Callithrix jacchus: one gene and its partners. The protein of the gene in region 4 interacts with the protein of the main gene of each other region in a biochemical or structural test. Links are inferred from orthologs where the notes say so. Each region holds a gene or a part of one and is shown on either strand. Other genes may lie near its edges.

Region 1 (5,236 bases), on a different chromosome or scaffold from region 4:
TCAAAGGAGTTTCTGCAAGATTTTCAAAAATGAGAAACACAGGGAAAAGAGTTTTAATTTTTAAAAAGGGAAATGGCATCCTTCCAATATTTGTAAAGAATCAGGCACATGTTCCCTCAAAGATAGCTTTAACAAGGGTAAAGGCTGCAGCCACTGGAAAGAAAACATATTCCAAATAATGATCTTATATTTCAAAACCTCATTAACTCTGTAAGTTGTCTTTCTCAACCAAGGGAAAAAAAACAGATTGAAAGGTCTAAATTAAATGAGAACTTTCATTTATGCCATCAAGTAAGGTCAAGTACACAGTGGGTAAATGAGTAGGTAGTTGGGTAGGTAGAGGAGTGAGTGGGTGGTCAATTAGTCTTGAAAAGTGAAATCTATTTTAAAGTACCTTAGTAAAAATTTAAACCTATTAAGATCTAGTGGTGAAAAACAATTTGTGATACTAACTTGCTATAAAAGAAAATAAAAATTCCACAGAACTTGGATGGAAATCAATAAAAAGGTTTTCAATGCATGGGAAGATCTTCAAGGCTTTTCTGTTCAAATTCAGAGGTGAACAAATTCTAAGTTAAAAATGTATGCTGTCAAGGTCCCTGCAAGAAAATCTCAAGCTAATTTCAATTTCCATATCAATATATACTAAGACAATTTACCAGAGAAACCTTCAACCTTTACTCAGGTTGAGGAACACTATTATTACATTCTTTAACAATAAGACTAGCTTGAATTCATTATTTCATGTAATGGCATTTTATAATTGACACTGAGCAAGTCAGATTTTGTAGGATATGAATGAGATTTCACAGTTCATAGTAGTTAGATAGCCACAGAGTGCCTATCACCTCAAAATTAGCTTGCTGCCCCTCTTTATGCAGCTCTGAAATAGCCAGAAAAGATGAATTTTCTTCTCCCAGGGGTGTTTACTGAAAATATTCTATCAACTACAAATCAGTGGAATACTGTTAATGTGATGATGACCATTTCTTTTTGATATCCAAAGAGATCACATCATCATCCTTCCCAACTTTAAGGAATCAGAACTAGTTACCAAAACTGATTCAGTGATGGCTATTTTCCATCTTCACAATATAATTAACATTTTAATCTCACATTTTCCAATTATGAATTGCTAGTTTATTTACATCAGCTATAACTAAGATGCAACAAATATTATTCACCCACACATCCAGTCATTTGGAGGCTTTTGGAAAACACCTAATTTACCTTTACTGGGTGCTCTTAAGAATAAGGAAACCAAGGAGATTTTTGAGACATTTTTCTCTCCAAAACTGTCCTATTCACATGTGGGTACTGAGCACCTGAAACGTGGCTGGTCAGACTGGAAAACGGATTTTGAATTTTATTTAATTTTCATTTATTAAAATTTAAATTTAGAAAAAGGTACTTGATTCGGTTATTGGAAAACTTTTATATATACTGGGAACCACTTGGGTATGTGAATCTACTTTTGCAAATGCAGATTTTATGAAACCTAAATACAGATTACGAATTTCTGATGAAAATTCAGCTTAAGTGTCAGAATTGAGATGTGCTGTTAGTGTAAAATACACACTGGGATTTCAAAGACTTAGTATAAAACATGTAAAATATTTCGTTAATATGTTTTCATATTGATTACATGTTGAAATGTTTCAATCTACTGAGTTAAATAAAATATTTTATTAAAATTAGTTATACCTTTTTTATTAAATGTGGCTACTAGAAAATTTTAAATTATAAATGTGGCTCATAATACAGCTTTTGGACAGTGCTATTCCAAAACACTTCCACAACCACTTTAACAGGACACATTTGGATACTTTCCTTTTAACAGTCTGGCTGATCATGTAACAATAGGGCAAGGAGTAACATGTCCTCATATCAATTGTGTCTGAGTAAAGTGTGTAGCAAGCTCTATCCACGATTTCACCATGAGAGGCAACACTGTAATACCTCAATATGGAAAGAAAAAGAAACAAATTAGCACTCAAATTAAAATTGTGTACTGCAGACAACTTAAAAGAGAGAGGGCCAACTGCTCTAAGGTCTTAATTTCATTTCCCAACTGTGGACCTTAAAATAGACAATAAAGCACCGCTTCCAAAAAAAAAAATATTTCAATGGTAGCTCTAGCGATCCTTATTAAGCCACGGAATACACGCTGTGTTAGGAAATCAAGTTCAGATTGCCAGCATTTCCTTCACAAGCAAATTAGCAGGATTGTGCACTTGGAATACTGTTTGACAAGAATGAAAAGGAAACTATTCAAAATAGATTTAAGGAATAGACAATTAGATGAGGAACTGCAGATTTAATTCTCAATCAGCACTGTGATTAATCTGATTCCCTGCTTTTCCCTAGCGTAATTATACAACACAGATGAAAGGATGAGCATTTGGACTGTCAATTCTATATTCTAGACCAGCCTGGTGACTCAAAGCAGACGGTTCTACCATGCTAACCACCATCCCAACAACAGTCTAGGGGAGCCTCGAGCACTGATTGAACAGTCATTGCATAACGAGGCATTAAAAATTCGAATGCCCCCAACTCTTTCCACGTCTGTGTACACCAGGGGGGGATTTGCTGAAACTGAACGCACCCCGTCTTAAACGACCCCTTCCTATCCGGGCACGGGGTGTACACAAAGGCATCTGTCTAATATCCTGCACAATAGACACACACCCCACAACTAAAACCTTGGACTATCTCTCTCTCTCTCCACACAAGCAAAGGAAATGCAAGCTGCTCTTTTCAAAAATGGTCTATGGTACAAGCAAGGTAACAATAACCCTAACTGAAGCAACTATAAAATCGGCTGTGCCACGTCCCTATGCAACCGTCAGATAAAATGCAGGCAGCCGGCTCCACGCCTTACGGGGTGACCAACCTAGGCTCGTTGGCCTCAATGGATCGCTGAGAACCCCAAGGCCCCCGCCAAGCAGGAGCTCCAGGTACACGTCTATAAATACTCCAGGATGAGGAGGACGAGAGGGGAAGAGGGGAGGGCGGGCAGGGGGCAGGCCCCGAGCGGGTGCGGGAAGACCGGGGTATCACTGAAATGCATTTTTCCACACTCCCGCTCCCTCGCGTGGAGACTTACTTGCCGATCACCTCGCACAGCTCGTACACATCCTCGAACAGCACGTCGTCGTCGGCCATGGTCCGGAGGGGATAGCGGCCGCAGCGTGGAGGGCTTCGAAAACGGGGGTGGGGGCGCCCAAGAGCTCAGTGCCCAGCCCCGGGCTCGCCTCCTCCCCTCAGGACCCGCGAGCCCTCGGCGCCGAGGACGCTTGAGTGGGGCCGCGAGGCCCAGAGACTGCGGCGCCTTCCTCTGCGGACTACCGCCCCGGCGCGGGCGGCGGGGCCGGGGCGCGGGAGCAAGGGCGGCCCGGGCCCGGCGCCGCCCGCCCGCCCGCTGCTCCTCGCGCTGCTCGGGCCGCGCTGCCCGGCGTGCGGATCCTCGGGGACCGCGCGGCGTCCCGCTCTCGGCTCGTCAGCCCGAGCGGGCTGCGAGGCCACGACCGCTCCCTCTGTCCGAGACCGGCTCCGTCGCGTCGCGGAGCAGCTCGGACTACAGAGGGTGCCGCGGCAGGACCATGGAGGGAGGATCGTCTCGGAGGGAGGTGGCGGCGGCTGATCGGCGCTGGGGACCAGGAGGCGGTGGCAGAGACGCTCCCTCCTCTTTCTCCTCCTCCCGCAGCCGCCGCCGCCCGCCCAGAAGTGGGAGGGGGCTTCGCGGGACCGGCGCTCTGTGCGGGCGGGAGCCGCGGCTGCCGCCTTCTGCTCCGCCCCTCAGCCTCAGCAGCCGACCGACTCGCCAGCCCCGCACACCCGCCTCGCGCAGACACGCCCTCCTCCCCCGTCGCCAGCGCCGCTTCCAGAACCACAGGCCCCGCCCACACCAGTCCGTCGGGAGGCGGTGTCCCAGGGAAAAGGGAGCGGGCTGAGCGGCGCATGCGCGCGGCGCCGGTCGCGTCACGGCGAAAGGGCGGGCACTGGGATTCTAGAGGGCGCGGAGGGTTTGCGAGTGGGGCGCGCCGGCTGCAGCTGCTGAGGCGGGGCTTGGTTGGGGTCGTCGCCTCCGTGCCTAGCCGCGACCAAGCCGCGAAAGAGGATGGAGACAAAAGGTCCACGGCTGCACGCTCGTTGTCCGGCAAGAGGCACGGAACTCCGGCCGTTACCCCTTCTTTTGTAATCGCAGGGAGCCTTTCCCAGTTTTTTGTCGAGAAAAGAGGCAGGGAAAGGGTGCGAATGAATGAGAAGGCCAAAAGAGGTAGAGAGAGGTTGTCACTGAAGCCGTGCTTGGCAGCGGATGCTTTTAGTGCCACCCTGTCATTCCTTAATGAAGACGAGGGCTGGGGGTAAGGGTAGGTCATCCTATAAAAGGACTAGACAAAAACTGCCTAGGAAGGTGTGCGACAGCAGCACACGGTCATCTATGGAGACAGCTTCTCCCACGTTCTGGCCCAAACTCAGCAAATATCAATCCAGCGCTTACCCTCACTAGAGACAACCTAGAGAGAAACCAGGAAGGCAGGGACAAACTGCGACTTTAATCTCCTTTGTATATTGCCCCCAAACTCCCAACACCTACTCTGCTCTCTATATTGCCTATAAATGTTAGACTTGTCAGGAACAAAATGCAACTAGAGGGAGTGCAGGCACAGGAGCAGCCAGGGAGTGAGGTTCTGGGTGTTGCCGCTGTGCTAGGTTGCATTCAAAATGAAGATTTCTGTTCAACTGAGCATGTGCGGAATGAGCCAACGCCGTGAGACAGGTGTATGCCTCAGTTGAAGACCAATAGTCTTTGTTCCTCCGCACAGCAAAAGTGCCCAATTAGTTCATAAGTCAGTTTCCAGAAATCTTCTGGCAAATTTCTCAGTGAGGTAATTTTTTCAAAAAAATTATTTCTTAATACCAAAGCAGAGGGGGTGTTGTGGAGACTCACAGCCTATTTTCTCTTCAGAAACGTTTCATGCAAACCCTTGACCACTCCCTCAAAAGGCTGAGAGATTTGCTTGCTAAGGATTTGAGTACTAAACCTTTTTTAAAAAAACATGCAGACCAGAGGACAAGCGTAATTGCACGTGGTTTTCCTCCTTTCTTAGAGAGCTTGTGCATTCTCTAGAGAAGGGGGCTTCGGAACTTAAGAAACATTGCCTCCTTTAAGGGTCCAAGAGTTACTCACCACAAGTTGGCATGTTCAGCTCATGCCCTATGAATAAGG
Region 2 (4,521 bases), on a different chromosome or scaffold from region 4:
TAGTCTGAGAGAAGAGGCAAATCAGTAATTTATTTTGAAACAAAAAAATTTTATAAGATACTGTTCCTCTAGAAAAATACTAATCCCTTAGTAATCTAATACTTTTATTTCTAGAAGATTTGTAGGTTCATGGGGTAAAAAAGGGTATCTGTTCAAATATGAAAAAATAAGAGAAAATTTGATTAAACAAAATATATAAAGTAACTAGACAGGCTACAAAATTGAAAATTATACTATATTCATAACAAATACAACTACAAAGGATGGAGAAAGGGATGTCTATAAAGGAAGATCAGAAAAGTCAAAATACATTTCCCATTAAACATAGCAGATTAAATCTTTCATCTCCAATTCTTGAAACATCACTAAAATGACATCAGCAATAAAAGAGGCATATAAAGACAAAAAGAACAAAAGATACAACAGCAATCAAGAGAAGTCACCAAGGAGGACAACAGATAAATGGTAATAAAGACTAAACTACAAGAAAAAGCTGAAACCTAAGCCTACAGGGATAGAAGCCAGTAAGAAATAAATGTCTGCACAAAAAAGCCCTGGGAAGCCTTAGAAATTAGAAACATAGGGGGCTGAAAACAGGACAAGTACTTGAAGTAAGAAGCTTTTAAACTCACCCATACTGGGGAATAAGACCTGTAATTTCCTCTAGTAAGGCTGAACCAGCTCTGCTCTCAAGGACACTTAAGGCAGGGATAAGGCATGCTGAGGAAAACATGGGGGCTAAGAGAAGTCAACGTACTAACTACTGAGACTTGCATCTCTTTTCTCACACTCAGCTCCTGGAGCACTAACAGCTAAGCTAAGGATTTTAAGGATATGGGAAGGTTTCTTCTGAAATATCTGATACAAGAAAACATATTTGCTATTATTACCATTTGATATACAGTAATAAAATGGACAAGTCCCTACCTATTCAAGATATAGGAAAACCCAGCAATCAGTAAGTTCCACCCACATGAGCCTGGCATTTAGTATCTTATTCTTAAATATTAAGTGGACAGCCACAAATCACCAAATATCTGAAAAAGGGCCACGTATCAAAGACAAAAATGAACAGAAAAAAATGAGGAGCAGAGAGCACAGAAGGTACACAACAAGATGGAACAGAGGAAAACTTTTTTTTTCAATGTCATCCTCAGACCAGGTTATTACATCTGTGGAGCAAATAACAGCAGACTAAAGAAATGAAAATTTCAGAAAATAAAGTTTTGAAATAGAAAATATGGTCACTGAAATTTTAATATTCAACTGATAAAATTGAAGAAACACCCACAAAGTAAAACCACGAAATAAAAACAGAAAAGATAAGAAAAAATGTATATCAGTTGTGCCTGTTTCCCATTTCTCCATATAAAACTTTTTTTTTTTTTTTTTTTTTTGGTGAGGAGAAACGGAAGAAGGGGAGTACCTGAAATAGAAATTAACCATGTTAAGAAACAGTAAAATCAAAATTAACTTAGTTAATAAAGTTTGATTCTATTGAAAGTAAACAGACATGCTATATAGAACAAATGAATGAGTAATGTAAGTAACTTAAGACCGGGAGGGAGAAAAGCTTTCTTTTCAGGGCTAGATACAGCTCTCCCACAAAGGGGCTTTTTGTATACCACATAACCTGGGTATGAGAGAAAGTTATGGGCAGAGGGCAGTGTTGAGTTTTCTATCTGTAACTTAAGGTAGTGTTCAAAACGTCTTCTAAAGTTCCTTCCAGCTCTAAGTTCTTTATGTCTAATTCCTACCTCCTTCATGGAGCCTGTTCTTACTACTCCAGGTACATCAGATTTCTGAAACCAAAAAAATGAACGCAATTTAAATGTGGCTAGGATTGACTAGCAAGGCCTAGATTGTTAAGTAATAATATATTTTGTAAGTATTAATTACATTAAGATACATTTTCAAAGTATTTGCATACCCTGGAAGCATAAGTCTGAGGATTATGAGTTCTGGGATCTCAAGCCAATTCTGTCATTAATAAATCATGTTACCATGAGCAACATACAAACCATGAGGCTCAATATCCATATCTGTATAAACAGGCTGAGATAATCTTTAAGATCCTTTCTAGTTCTAAATGGCTTATGATTCTAAATAAATATATGACTAAGGGAACTGGTTATTAAATAGACCTCTTAAAATTGCTTGCTGACATTCTGATGCTAGTAAAGGACAAAGGAGAGTTACAAAATACATACAGAATTAAATCAGAACAGCTTACCCTTCCATTCTTACAGATATAATCAAATAGCTCTCCTCCAGAGACATATTCCATCACCATGAAAATATCAGATGGTGTACTGATGACCTGGTACCTGGTGAGAGAAAAAATTGTCTACAAATATTAAAACATGTATATTCATTCATTCAATAAATATTTACTAAGCACCTATAGTATACTAGGTGCCATGCTAGGAGCTAGGATAACTGCAGGGAACAAAAATTATCTGCTCTCATGGAGTTCATGTTCCAGAAGCCAGGAAACAGACACTAAATAAATAAACAGTATCTCAGGTGGTAGAACATGCTATGTAGAAAAATAAAGCAAACTAAGGGGAATGTTTGTATACAGAGTGCTCAAGGAAGCCTTCTAATAAAGTAACATTTGAGCTGATCCTAAAAGAAGAATGGAAATAAATTATGCCATTATCTAGGAGGAAGGTGAACCAGGGAGAGAAAACAGCAGCTACAAATGTCCCCAGGTAGAATCCTGTTTGGCATGTTCGAGGAATAGTAAGGGCACAGCAGAGTAAGCAGGGAGGGAAAAATAGGATGTAGAATCAAAGGTGTTAACTGCCGGCCAGAGTACATAGAATTGTATAAGCCATGATAAGGCTTTGGCTTTTACTCCAAGGAAAATGAAAAAAGCTATCATTGTCTCAGAAAGGGGCTAAAAAGAAAAAAATAAAGAAAGGAAAAAAAAAAGAAAAAAGCTATCATATGTTTTAAGCAGTCATGTGATCTGGCATATTAAAAGGAAAACTCTGGCCACAGTGTAAAGAATTAACTGTCAACAGTAAAGGTAGATACAGGAGGTTACCTCAGGATTTCATAAGACGGATGAAGGTGGCTGAGACCAGGTTGACAGTGATAAAGGAACTGAGAAGCAGTCACATGCTAGCTTGATTTTATAGGAAGAGATGTGAAAGAAACAGGGAAGTTAAAAACGGTTCCTAAGTTTTAGCCCTGGGTAACTGGATGTTAGCTGAGATGGTGAAAACTGTGGTAAGAGCAGGTTTGGGAGAGTAATAGTTCATTTTGGTCCCAGGGAGTTTTAAATGCCTTGCGGACATCCAAATGGAAATGTAAAGTCAGCAGTGAGCATTTTGAGTCTGGAGTAAGAAGAGATCTTAAAGCAAGAGATGGACATTTAGGAGTGGTAAGCACATGGATGGTATTTAAAACCATGGAACCTCAACAAATGAGAAGAGGTGAGTGAAACAAATTTGAGTCAGCCAGTTCAGCAGCTTTAAATTATTGCCTGCATAACAAAGCAGAAGCTGAGCAGGAAATATGTTATTTATAGACTCTACAACCTACAACTATAAAACAACAGTAAGATTACTGCTCTTTTGAAATATTAGATTCCTAAAATTTTGTTATCTGTATTCAGGTATAAGCAGGATGGGAAAAAACTCTTTCTACTGCATTCTCGCTAATGAGGCTAACTGACGTCATGTGGGCACTTGGAGGTCAAGAGTTTTTACTAGCAGATCATTGTTGATTTTACACTAATGGGGCACCAAACATTATTATCAAAAGGGCATCTTTCCAGAAGACAGGAAAGAATGAGAAGATAACAGCTGATAAGCACAAGGGCAAAACATGAACACAGGATTAAATGACCATCAGGAGGGCTAGAAGAATACATGCAAAGGAAGAAACTTTTTTTTTTTTGAGACAGTTTCGCCCTTGTTGCCCAGGCTGGAGTGCAAAGGCATGATCTCAGCTCACTGCTACCTCTACCTCCCAGGTTCAAGCAATTCTCCTGCCTCAGCCTCCTGAGTAGCTGGGATTACAGGTGCCCACCACCACACAGAGCTAATTTTTATATTTTTAGTAGAGATGGGGTTTCACCATGTTGGCCAGGCTAGTCTTGAACTCCTGACCTCAGGTGATCTGTCCACCTCGGCCTCCCAAAATGCTGGGATTACAGGCATGAGCCACTGCAAGCGGCCTAGGAAGAAACTTTTCAAAACCCTCATGAAACAAAAAGAAGTGTCAGTCATTTTTCTCGCTTGTCACATTAAGTAGGTTAACAAAAAAGATGAAAAGATGACTGGTCTACATTTAATATAAACAGAGCTTACAGTTTAATTATATGAGGATGCCTGAAAAGCTTGAGGTTCTGAATTTCTCTGCGGATTTTTCCCACCACATCGAGGCTCCGAATCTTCTGCCTATTGAGTATCTTCACAGCCACTTTATGCCCAGTTAATTCATGTTTGCCAACTGTAAAGGAAGTAATTTTAACAAATTAGTACTAAGTATGATCAATAATATATTTAT
Region 3 (3,132 bases), on a different chromosome or scaffold from region 4:
GGAGTCTTCTATCTCAAGCCCACCACTCTCTGCCATACCTCAGTGGAGCTGTAGCTTTTACAGGGACTGTGGGAAAGTTGGTGATCCTGAGGGAGTCTGGAATGAGCCCACTTGAGGTCCCCTTTGCAGATACCTTTGGAGACTGGTCAAGGGTGGAGTGTCACCATCCTACTCTCTTTCATCCTGCCCGCCCCTGGAGGCATGCCAGAGGGAGGCTGCGGCTGCCTGGGAAGAGGCTGAGCAAGCCCTAGGAGAACCGGATCAGGCCCTGGCTCAGCTTCAGGCCCATGTGGCAGACATGGAAGCCAAGTATGAGGAAATCTTACACATGAGCACCACCCCCTGCCCAGCCACCCAGTACCCAGGACTCCCCCGTGCCCACAAACCCCAGCTAGTATGATGACTGACAACCCAGGGGTAAGGAGAAGAAGCATCTCCAAGGGAACCCTGCTCTATCCTGAGGACGGAAAGAAGGGATACAACCATGTCTGCTGGACAAGGAAAGCTTACAAACCAACCTGGGGCAGCCTTATCCACTTCCCTCTGTCTTCCTGGGGGCTGAAATCTTGGTGTCTGCAGGACAGCCTGGACAGGCTCTTGGCCATGCTGAGAGCTATCAAGCCGCAGTGGGATGGGGCTGCGCTGAGACCCCAGGCTCAAGGAGCAGCTATGCCAGTTCGGACTCACCCCCTGGATCTTTGAGGCCTCCAGCCTCTAGTCTCTCAGGCTCTCTGAGGCCCCAGCAATAAAGCATCTTGATGCAGAACTCAGCAGAGCTGTGGGCGGTGGTCTTTTGGCAGAGAGGAATGGATCTTTTTTATTATTTTTTAATTTATTTTTCTTCTTTGTTTTGTTTTGTTGTTGCTTTTATTTTTAGGAATGGCTCTCATGGGGCTCTCATGGGGACACCTCAGTTCTGGGTTGATCCATTAATCCGAGACTGAGTGACAGGAAAGAAATTTGATCAAGTCGCAACCTCTCTCCTGCAAAAGCCAGGTCCCATCCCTTGAGCCTGAGGTCCTTTGGGTCCCTTCAGACCACTGCCCCTTACCCCCACCAACACAAACACAGGCAGTCAGATTTATGGGGAACGGCCATTTCTCTAACAAGTGCAACGGTGCCCAGGCACCACCCTCCGCAGTGTTAAGGTGCCCACAGAGGGCAGGCATAGCTGGTCTCCAAATTCTTGCATTACACTCAAGGGTCGTGGAGTCCTATCTAGAAAAGGTCCAGGTGGTTTCAGTCCTAGCCAGCCCCACAGCCACACCTTCATCCTTGGGACACAGCTCTCCAAAGCTCCCAGACGACATCCTCTGGAGCCTCAGACTTCGTCAGGGACCTGCCTGAGGCCTTCTGCCATACCCTCTGCTGGGAGGTGGGTCTGCAGGAAGGGAGGGAGTGCCTGGGCCAGCCTGTGATTGGTGGTGTCTGGCTTATAGAGAGCATCCTGCCTCCAACACCTTGGGCTTGAGAGTGAAGACAGGATATCCCCTGGTATGTCTGTACCAAGCAGTGATGCTCTATAGCAGGTCCGAGGCCAGAGCCCAGTCCTAGGCAGAGAGAGGAGGCGGAAGGTGGTTCCAGGTGGGACCCCAAAGAGTTACTTTTTCTTGCCTCCTCCTGCACTGGAATGCCCAGGAACGGGACTTATTTCATGCATTTTTCTGTCCCCACCTACCACGACCTGAAGCCCACCTTGCAGACCCCACACTGCTTCACCTTGCAGCTTGCCCACTCTGTCCTTTCTCACTCCTCCCTGACCTTCTGTAGCTACTCACAGTCCAATCTGTTTCTTCTTCCTCACCTCTACAGCCCCAGGGGGAATCCAGGCTTCCAAGCCCCATGGAGACCTGGCTGCCAGCTTCAGGCAGAGGGGTGGCTCAGCCTCAGGCAGCTGCTGAAGCCTCTCCAGGTCATTCTTTCCCCCAACAGGGTACCCGTTCACTTCCAGAATCACATCTCCCACTCGCAGCCCCGCCCGGGCAGCTGAGCCTCCTGGAGTCACCTGGTGGTGTGGGGGCATGCAGAACAGGGGAGACCAGGGAAAATTTGCTGGCTTAAGGCTCTGGAAGGAAAGCAGAGGAAACTGATCAGGCAGCAAAGGATGGAAAGGATTCAGGGTCCATGGGGCATGAGTCACCTGTGAGATAAAGAGACGAGGCCCACCCTCCACACAGCTGAGTCGGAAGCCATAGCCGCCACCAGGCCCAGGGTACAGAGAGCACTGGCGGGAGCCAAGAGGGACGGAAGGCACGCCTGTGTCTTCAAGTGAAGGGTCCTCTGTCTCAACCAGAGAGGCTGAGCCACTGCCCTGGGGAGAGGCAGTAACCTCTGTGTTCTCCAAGAAGAGGAGTGGGGATAGGCGAACCTGGAAGGTGGCAGGTAGAGCAAACCTGTTGGACCCGAGCCCTGCTCCTCTTCTGCCCCATCCCTAGCCCCTGCCCCCTCAGCACGCACCATGCTGAAGAAGCGGTCAGCATCAGGGTCGACGACAATGAGGGAGACACAGGAGCCCTGCGCCTGGATCCTGGACACTGTCTCCTCATGGCCCAGTCCCTCCACGCTCTCCCCAGCCACAGCCACCAGCCGGTCCCCAGCCTGCATCCCAGCCTTCTCAGCTGGCAGTCCTGGGTCTACATCCCACAGGAACTGTCCTGGGGCACAGACATCCTTACTGCTTCTCCCCAACTATCCCAGGCCACTGTGTGCACACCAGCGGACTGACCTCAGGGTGAGCAGGAAGAGGTGGCCCAGGGCCAGAGCTCAGACAGGGACACCTCTTCTGTGTACTGAGAGGTGTATATACATTTGTGTGCCCACCTCAAGGCCCACCTTCCCCCACCACCTCCAGGGTTCTCACTCACCAGGGCGACCATCAAGGCCCTTTTCCTCCCGGAGCAGGAACCCAAAACCCCGGGGCCCTTTCTGCAGGTGCAGACATCGGGGCTTGGTGGGCAGTGCCCAGCCCTCTGCCAGGGGTGCAGCCAGGGGCAATCCCAGCTGGCGACACTGTTCCTCCACCTCTGGCCCTGCCACCAGCAAGGTCACCTGCTGTCCACTCTGCCAAAGCTGTGAGGACCCAGCAGGGCATCAGTATAACACCTGGGCAGGGAGGAAGAGGCAGTCCCCCAA
Region 4 (4,521 bases):
TCATTTTTTCCATTGCTTCTTCCCAGCAGTATGCCTTCACAGATTGGATATTTTCAATCATTTCTGATGTAATCACAAGTCTTTCATTGATCTTTCCAGCTCTTTGATCTCTGTAAATCAATCAATCAATCAATCTCATAGGAAAAACAAGTCAAATTATCTACAAAGAACTGCTCAAGGTTTTAAGTCATATTTCTTTTGTTCAACAGATGGGTATTTATTTTATCAAATAGATGGTAGCAAAAATAATAACTACTGTTTAGTAAATGCCTCCTACGTGGCATTGTCCCTGTCCCTTATGAGAGTCTATGAGTGGTGGGTATCTCAATTCAGAGATGAAAAAAGCAAAGACAGTGAGGTGAACTGGCTTGACTAAGGTCATATAACTAGTAAGTATGCAATCTGGGATTCAAACAAAGAGCTATTTGACTCCAAAATTTTTATACTTTATGTCATATTCTATCTGACTCAGGAAGCCCTTTATCACAAGCAGTGACTGGTGTAAGTCATTCATTCACTGGTATTAGTTATTCTGTAATACAAAGTGACTAAGGCTCTGGTGTGATGATCCGTAAACCAGAGTCCTAAAAGCTAATAAACTCTACACAAAAATCAGGTATTCCTTTTAACTCACATAAAAATTTTATCCATTTTTAGCTGTTTTATATCTTAAAAAATGAACTGAATCAACATATTTATAAAGGAATTCTAGAGACTGACAAGCAAAAACTTTCCCATTGATATAGGAAGTAATATTTATACCACTTTAAAGAGTCTTTTTTTAGGCCAGGTACAGTGGCTCATGCCTGTCATCCCAGCACTTTGGGAGGCTGAGGTGGACAGATCACTTAAGGTCAAGACCATCCTGAGTAACCTGGTGAAACCGTGTCTCTACTAAAATATAAAAATTAGCCAGGTGTGGTGGCATGTGCCTGTAACCCCAGCTACTCTGGAGGCTGAGACAGGAGAATTGCTTGAGAGTGGGAGGCAAAGGTTGCAATGAGCCAAGATGGTGCCACTGCACTCCAGCATGGGTAACAAAGTTAGACTCTGCCTCCAAAAAAGAATTTGAAAAGAAAAAAAAAAAAGGCTTTTTTAGTGACACTGAAGATCACAGTTCTATGTAAAGAGCAGTCCTGGTTTTACTAAAGTGGGCTTTTTGAAAACATAATTTTTAAAATTTTCAAGCTATGCAAATAAGTTGCTACCTGTACTTCATCATCATTCTCCCCAGCCCAGCCTGAAAAAGGGCAAGAACTATCAGGAAACCAAGTCCACAGAAGGCAGAGGCCTGTAACAACTCCCAGATTAGCCCCATGAGGAGTGCCACTTGCAAAGGAGCGATCCACACGAAATGTGCCAATGCAAGTCCCTGGAAAATAAAAGCACAGCAAAAACAGGTGGCATTTTATCTTCCACCCCTAGAAACAAACAATCACATATGAAAGAAAGCGAATACAGAGAGCATATGATCAAACACTTTATGGTTCTGAGCACACTAAAATCAAGTAATCATTACATGGAGCACATAACAATGTGCTTTAACATTCTACATACAGACTAGGTTTTCCCAAAGAACAAATTTCAAGTAAGTGCATTTTAAAGTATATTTTTATTCAGTGGAATTGAGATTGGATATCTTAAGAATCATGTCCAGGTTTTTAGTAACTTATTTCTTTTTGGATTAGGCAAGAAATACAGCACAGGACATGAGAGAACAAAAAACTCTCTAGAGACTCAATCCGCACAACTGCACATCTCTGTCAACTGACAGAAACATTAGGAAGAGTTGTTCAATTCAACAGTAATCAATTTTGTACCAGCTGTGGGTCCAAAGCTATTTTAAGTACTGGACATGCAAGGATAAGTAAAACACATTATCCTCAAGGAGCTTGAATTTGTCACATAAGACAATATAGAACAAAAATTGCTCTGAGTATCATATTCAGCCAAAGTATATAACAGATTTAAAGTAGTAAAGAGAAGCAAGATCTTATAAGAATTAAGTTTTGAAAAATCTTATTAACAACAGCCTGAGATGCCTCTGCGTTGGGTGGTTCTACCAGACCCCAGAATGGCGCTATGCTATACAGTCTACCTTTCTCCGTTTCCAGAATAGGGAAGCTGGAGATAAGCAAGACTTAACCACTAATTACTATCATGTGACCCAGGAAAACTCTACCTTTTCAATTGTATAATTTATAATAATAGTGCATAAAATATTAAATCAACAGGTACATACTTCATCAAATTTGTTCAGGTTGTTGGAAAGGAGACTAACAAGTTGTCCAATACTTATTTTATCTAGAACACGGCTCGACAGCTTTAAAGTCTAAGAGAAAAATGGGAAGTTAGAAAATTTCAACAAACAAAATACAAATATATTTTAAGTAACGTTATAATATGACTGAGAAATTCAGTTTTTATGCATTCATTATTAAGCAAAGGTAATGAAAATTATGTTCTATTCATCTAGCTTACTATCTTCTCAGATTCATAAATATTACTTTTAACAGTATTATACTGGCAGGCTTCTAGCTGTTTTATTTTCCAGCATCTAGAGAGAAATAATTATTTTTTCTCCTCACAATGAAAATGATATTATACTTAAATACCCATTTATATGGTATGGGATTTTTTGTTTTGTTTTGTTTCAAAAAATAGAGCCAAAGGGAGGGAAATTTGAGATTAAGCCTTGGCCTTGAATTTTTCATGCAGTCCTATACTAACTCTTTTGAATAAAATTACGGTTAAAGTTAATAAAAGTATGGGATGAATAGCTGAGTAATTATTACTTTTGTGAAAAAGTATATTAACAAAATCCTTAAATTTTACAAAGAAAAGTGCAATGGCATATGAAAAATAGTTAAGAAGGTAAATTATTTTTTATCTACTTATTTATCTACTAATTAAATTTACTTAAAATTATAAAGTTGACTATGATTATGGAAGATCAGAGTCATACTTTGCTCAATTTGACCTCAAACTGTAGAAGAATTGATTTGCTATTAGCTCACTTTGATTGGGAATTATCTAATATTAGTTTCAAGTGAATCTCTCACATACTTGTTGAGCATTTAGTAAATACAAATCACTCTACTTGATGCCTCAATGATTATTAAGATTTATTAAAACATAATTATTTCTTCAAAGCAACCTAGTATATAAATAACTAAATATAACATGATAGATGAGTTAAGGAAAGTAGAAAGTAATAGGGTAGTTAAGAAAAAGTTAAAACTTCTGGTTAGAAAAATCTGGAAGGATTTTCTTGAGGAGTTAGAATTTGAGATGGTGTGGAATAATAAACAGTGTGCAGATAAGCAGAGAAAAGAAGGAATCAAGGCACTTAATTCCAAAACATTATCAGAGCAACATGAAGGGGGAAAACCCATTGAGCTAAATTGCACATGATTTAGTAACAGGCTTAGTCTCAAGTGACTTTGAGTCCTGCATAAGGCTTAACATGGAGCTGTGTGCACAGTAAGGACTCAATAAATATTTTTAAATTAAGTTATTTCTGCATTCTTGAAAAGTATAGGCAAAGCTCAAAATTGTTTGTATTTAAATTCATTATTTAAAGTAAAATATTGCAGAATTTGGAACAAAGCAGAGGAGAGCTCTGTTACAAACTTTGGAACATTGTAGGAAATATCCCATATATCCTGGTTATGAGGCCAAACAGGTCAGATATGGGAAAGCATCAGACCTGGGAAGAGTAAACACAGGTTCACTTTAGGAACCAAACCAAAGCCACACAGAGACGGGATTGCCTTCTTTGGTGATAATGCCAATGTAGGCATAAGGGTGGTTAGAGAGAGAAATCAAACTCACCAAGAACACAGATACTCAATGTTGAGAAAGGAAGACAAATACTATACCATTTAACTTTTTATCAGTGCATCTGGGTCTGAAAGCACCTATATTTGTGCTAAATGTTACATAGGGACTTGTTTACAAACTAACCTGCCCATTATTTGATCTCTGTACCCCATTAGCCCATGCCTCTCTCTCCCTGCAGTAGAGTCTGCCCACTAAATATCAGTACTCTATTGTCCCGAGTGGTTGGAAAACCCTCCAGTTCAAAGATTGTGATTTACCTATTTTAGAAATTTTGAAGCAGTGTCTGCACCATGTTCTGTACCTTTAAAATCTTAGTTTCCTTATCCATATGATAGGGGTAATAATACCTACCATTAAGAGTTGTGCAGAAGATCAAATGAGATGGTGTACCTAATTGCCTAAAAATTTGTCATGCACATGCTATTACCATTAAGATAAGCAATTTTTATAAATATTTATTAAATGAATTCAACTTTCTCTGATATGCCAGCTGTGTAGAGTCTACATTCTAAATGATATCTAACAATGTCCTCACTTATGTAAAGGTTTGGATCAAAATAAAACTTTTGTTGATTTATCACACGTTTCCCTGGTACTTGTGAACTGATGAGATTGCAGCTGAGGTGATAACTGTGGACTCCGTTTTTTTTTTCTTACTTCTGCCTTCATAAAAGGCTT

What was found.
Region 1: the proteins of CFTR (region 4) and CASK interact in a test that uses a peptide from one of them, tested with the Homo sapiens proteins (2 studies listed by IntAct, with this or other methods). The link is inferred for Callithrix jacchus from reciprocal best matches to the Homo sapiens genes CFTR and CASK.
Region 2: the proteins of CFTR (region 4) and PRKAA1 form a complex in vitro, tested with the Homo sapiens proteins (2 studies listed by BioGRID, with this or other methods). The link is inferred for Callithrix jacchus from reciprocal best matches to the Homo sapiens genes CFTR and PRKAA1.
Region 3: the proteins of CFTR (region 4) and NHERF4 form a complex in vitro, tested with the Homo sapiens proteins (2 studies listed by BioGRID and IntAct, with this or other methods). The link is inferred for Callithrix jacchus from reciprocal best matches to the Homo sapiens genes CFTR and NHERF4.

The regions. Positions count from the first base shown.
Region 1 is NC_133524.1:42,784,435-42,789,670, forward strand, and holds the start of CASK (peripheral plasma membrane protein CASK), read right to left. Parts: upstream 3,304-5,236; 5' UTR 3,169-3,303; coding exon 3,110-3,168; intron 1-3,109. UniProt on the Homo sapiens protein: Multidomain scaffolding Mg(2+)-independent protein kinase that catalyzes the phosphotransfer from ATP to proteins such as NRXN1, and plays a role in synaptic transmembrane protein anchoring and ion channel trafficking.
Region 2 is NC_133503.1:164,798,763-164,803,283, reverse strand, and holds part of PRKAA1 (5'-AMP-activated protein kinase catalytic subunit alpha-1), read right to left. Parts: intron 4,465-4,521; coding exon 4,323-4,464; intron 2,328-4,322; coding exon 2,234-2,327; intron 1,803-2,233; coding exon 1,758-1,802; intron 1-1,757. UniProt on the Homo sapiens protein: Catalytic subunit of AMP-activated protein kinase (AMPK), an energy sensor protein kinase that plays a key role in regulating cellular energy metabolism.
Region 3 is NC_133511.1:18,846,444-18,849,575, reverse strand, and holds the end of NHERF4 (Na(+)/H(+) exchange regulatory cofactor NHE-RF4), read right to left. Parts: intron 3,070-3,132; coding exon 2,865-3,069; intron 2,655-2,864; coding exon 2,458-2,654; intron 2,369-2,457; coding exon 1,805-2,368; intron 1,551-1,804; coding exon 1,521-1,550; 3' UTR 814-1,520; downstream 1-813.
Region 4 is NC_133512.1:88,121,435-88,125,955, reverse strand, and holds part of CFTR (cystic fibrosis transmembrane conductance regulator), read right to left. Parts: intron 2,333-4,521; coding exon 2,243-2,332; intron 1,373-2,242; coding exon 1,209-1,372; intron 111-1,208; coding exon 1-110. UniProt on the Homo sapiens protein: Epithelial ion channel that plays an important role in the regulation of epithelial ion and water transport and fluid homeostasis. Mediates the transport of chloride ions across the cell membrane.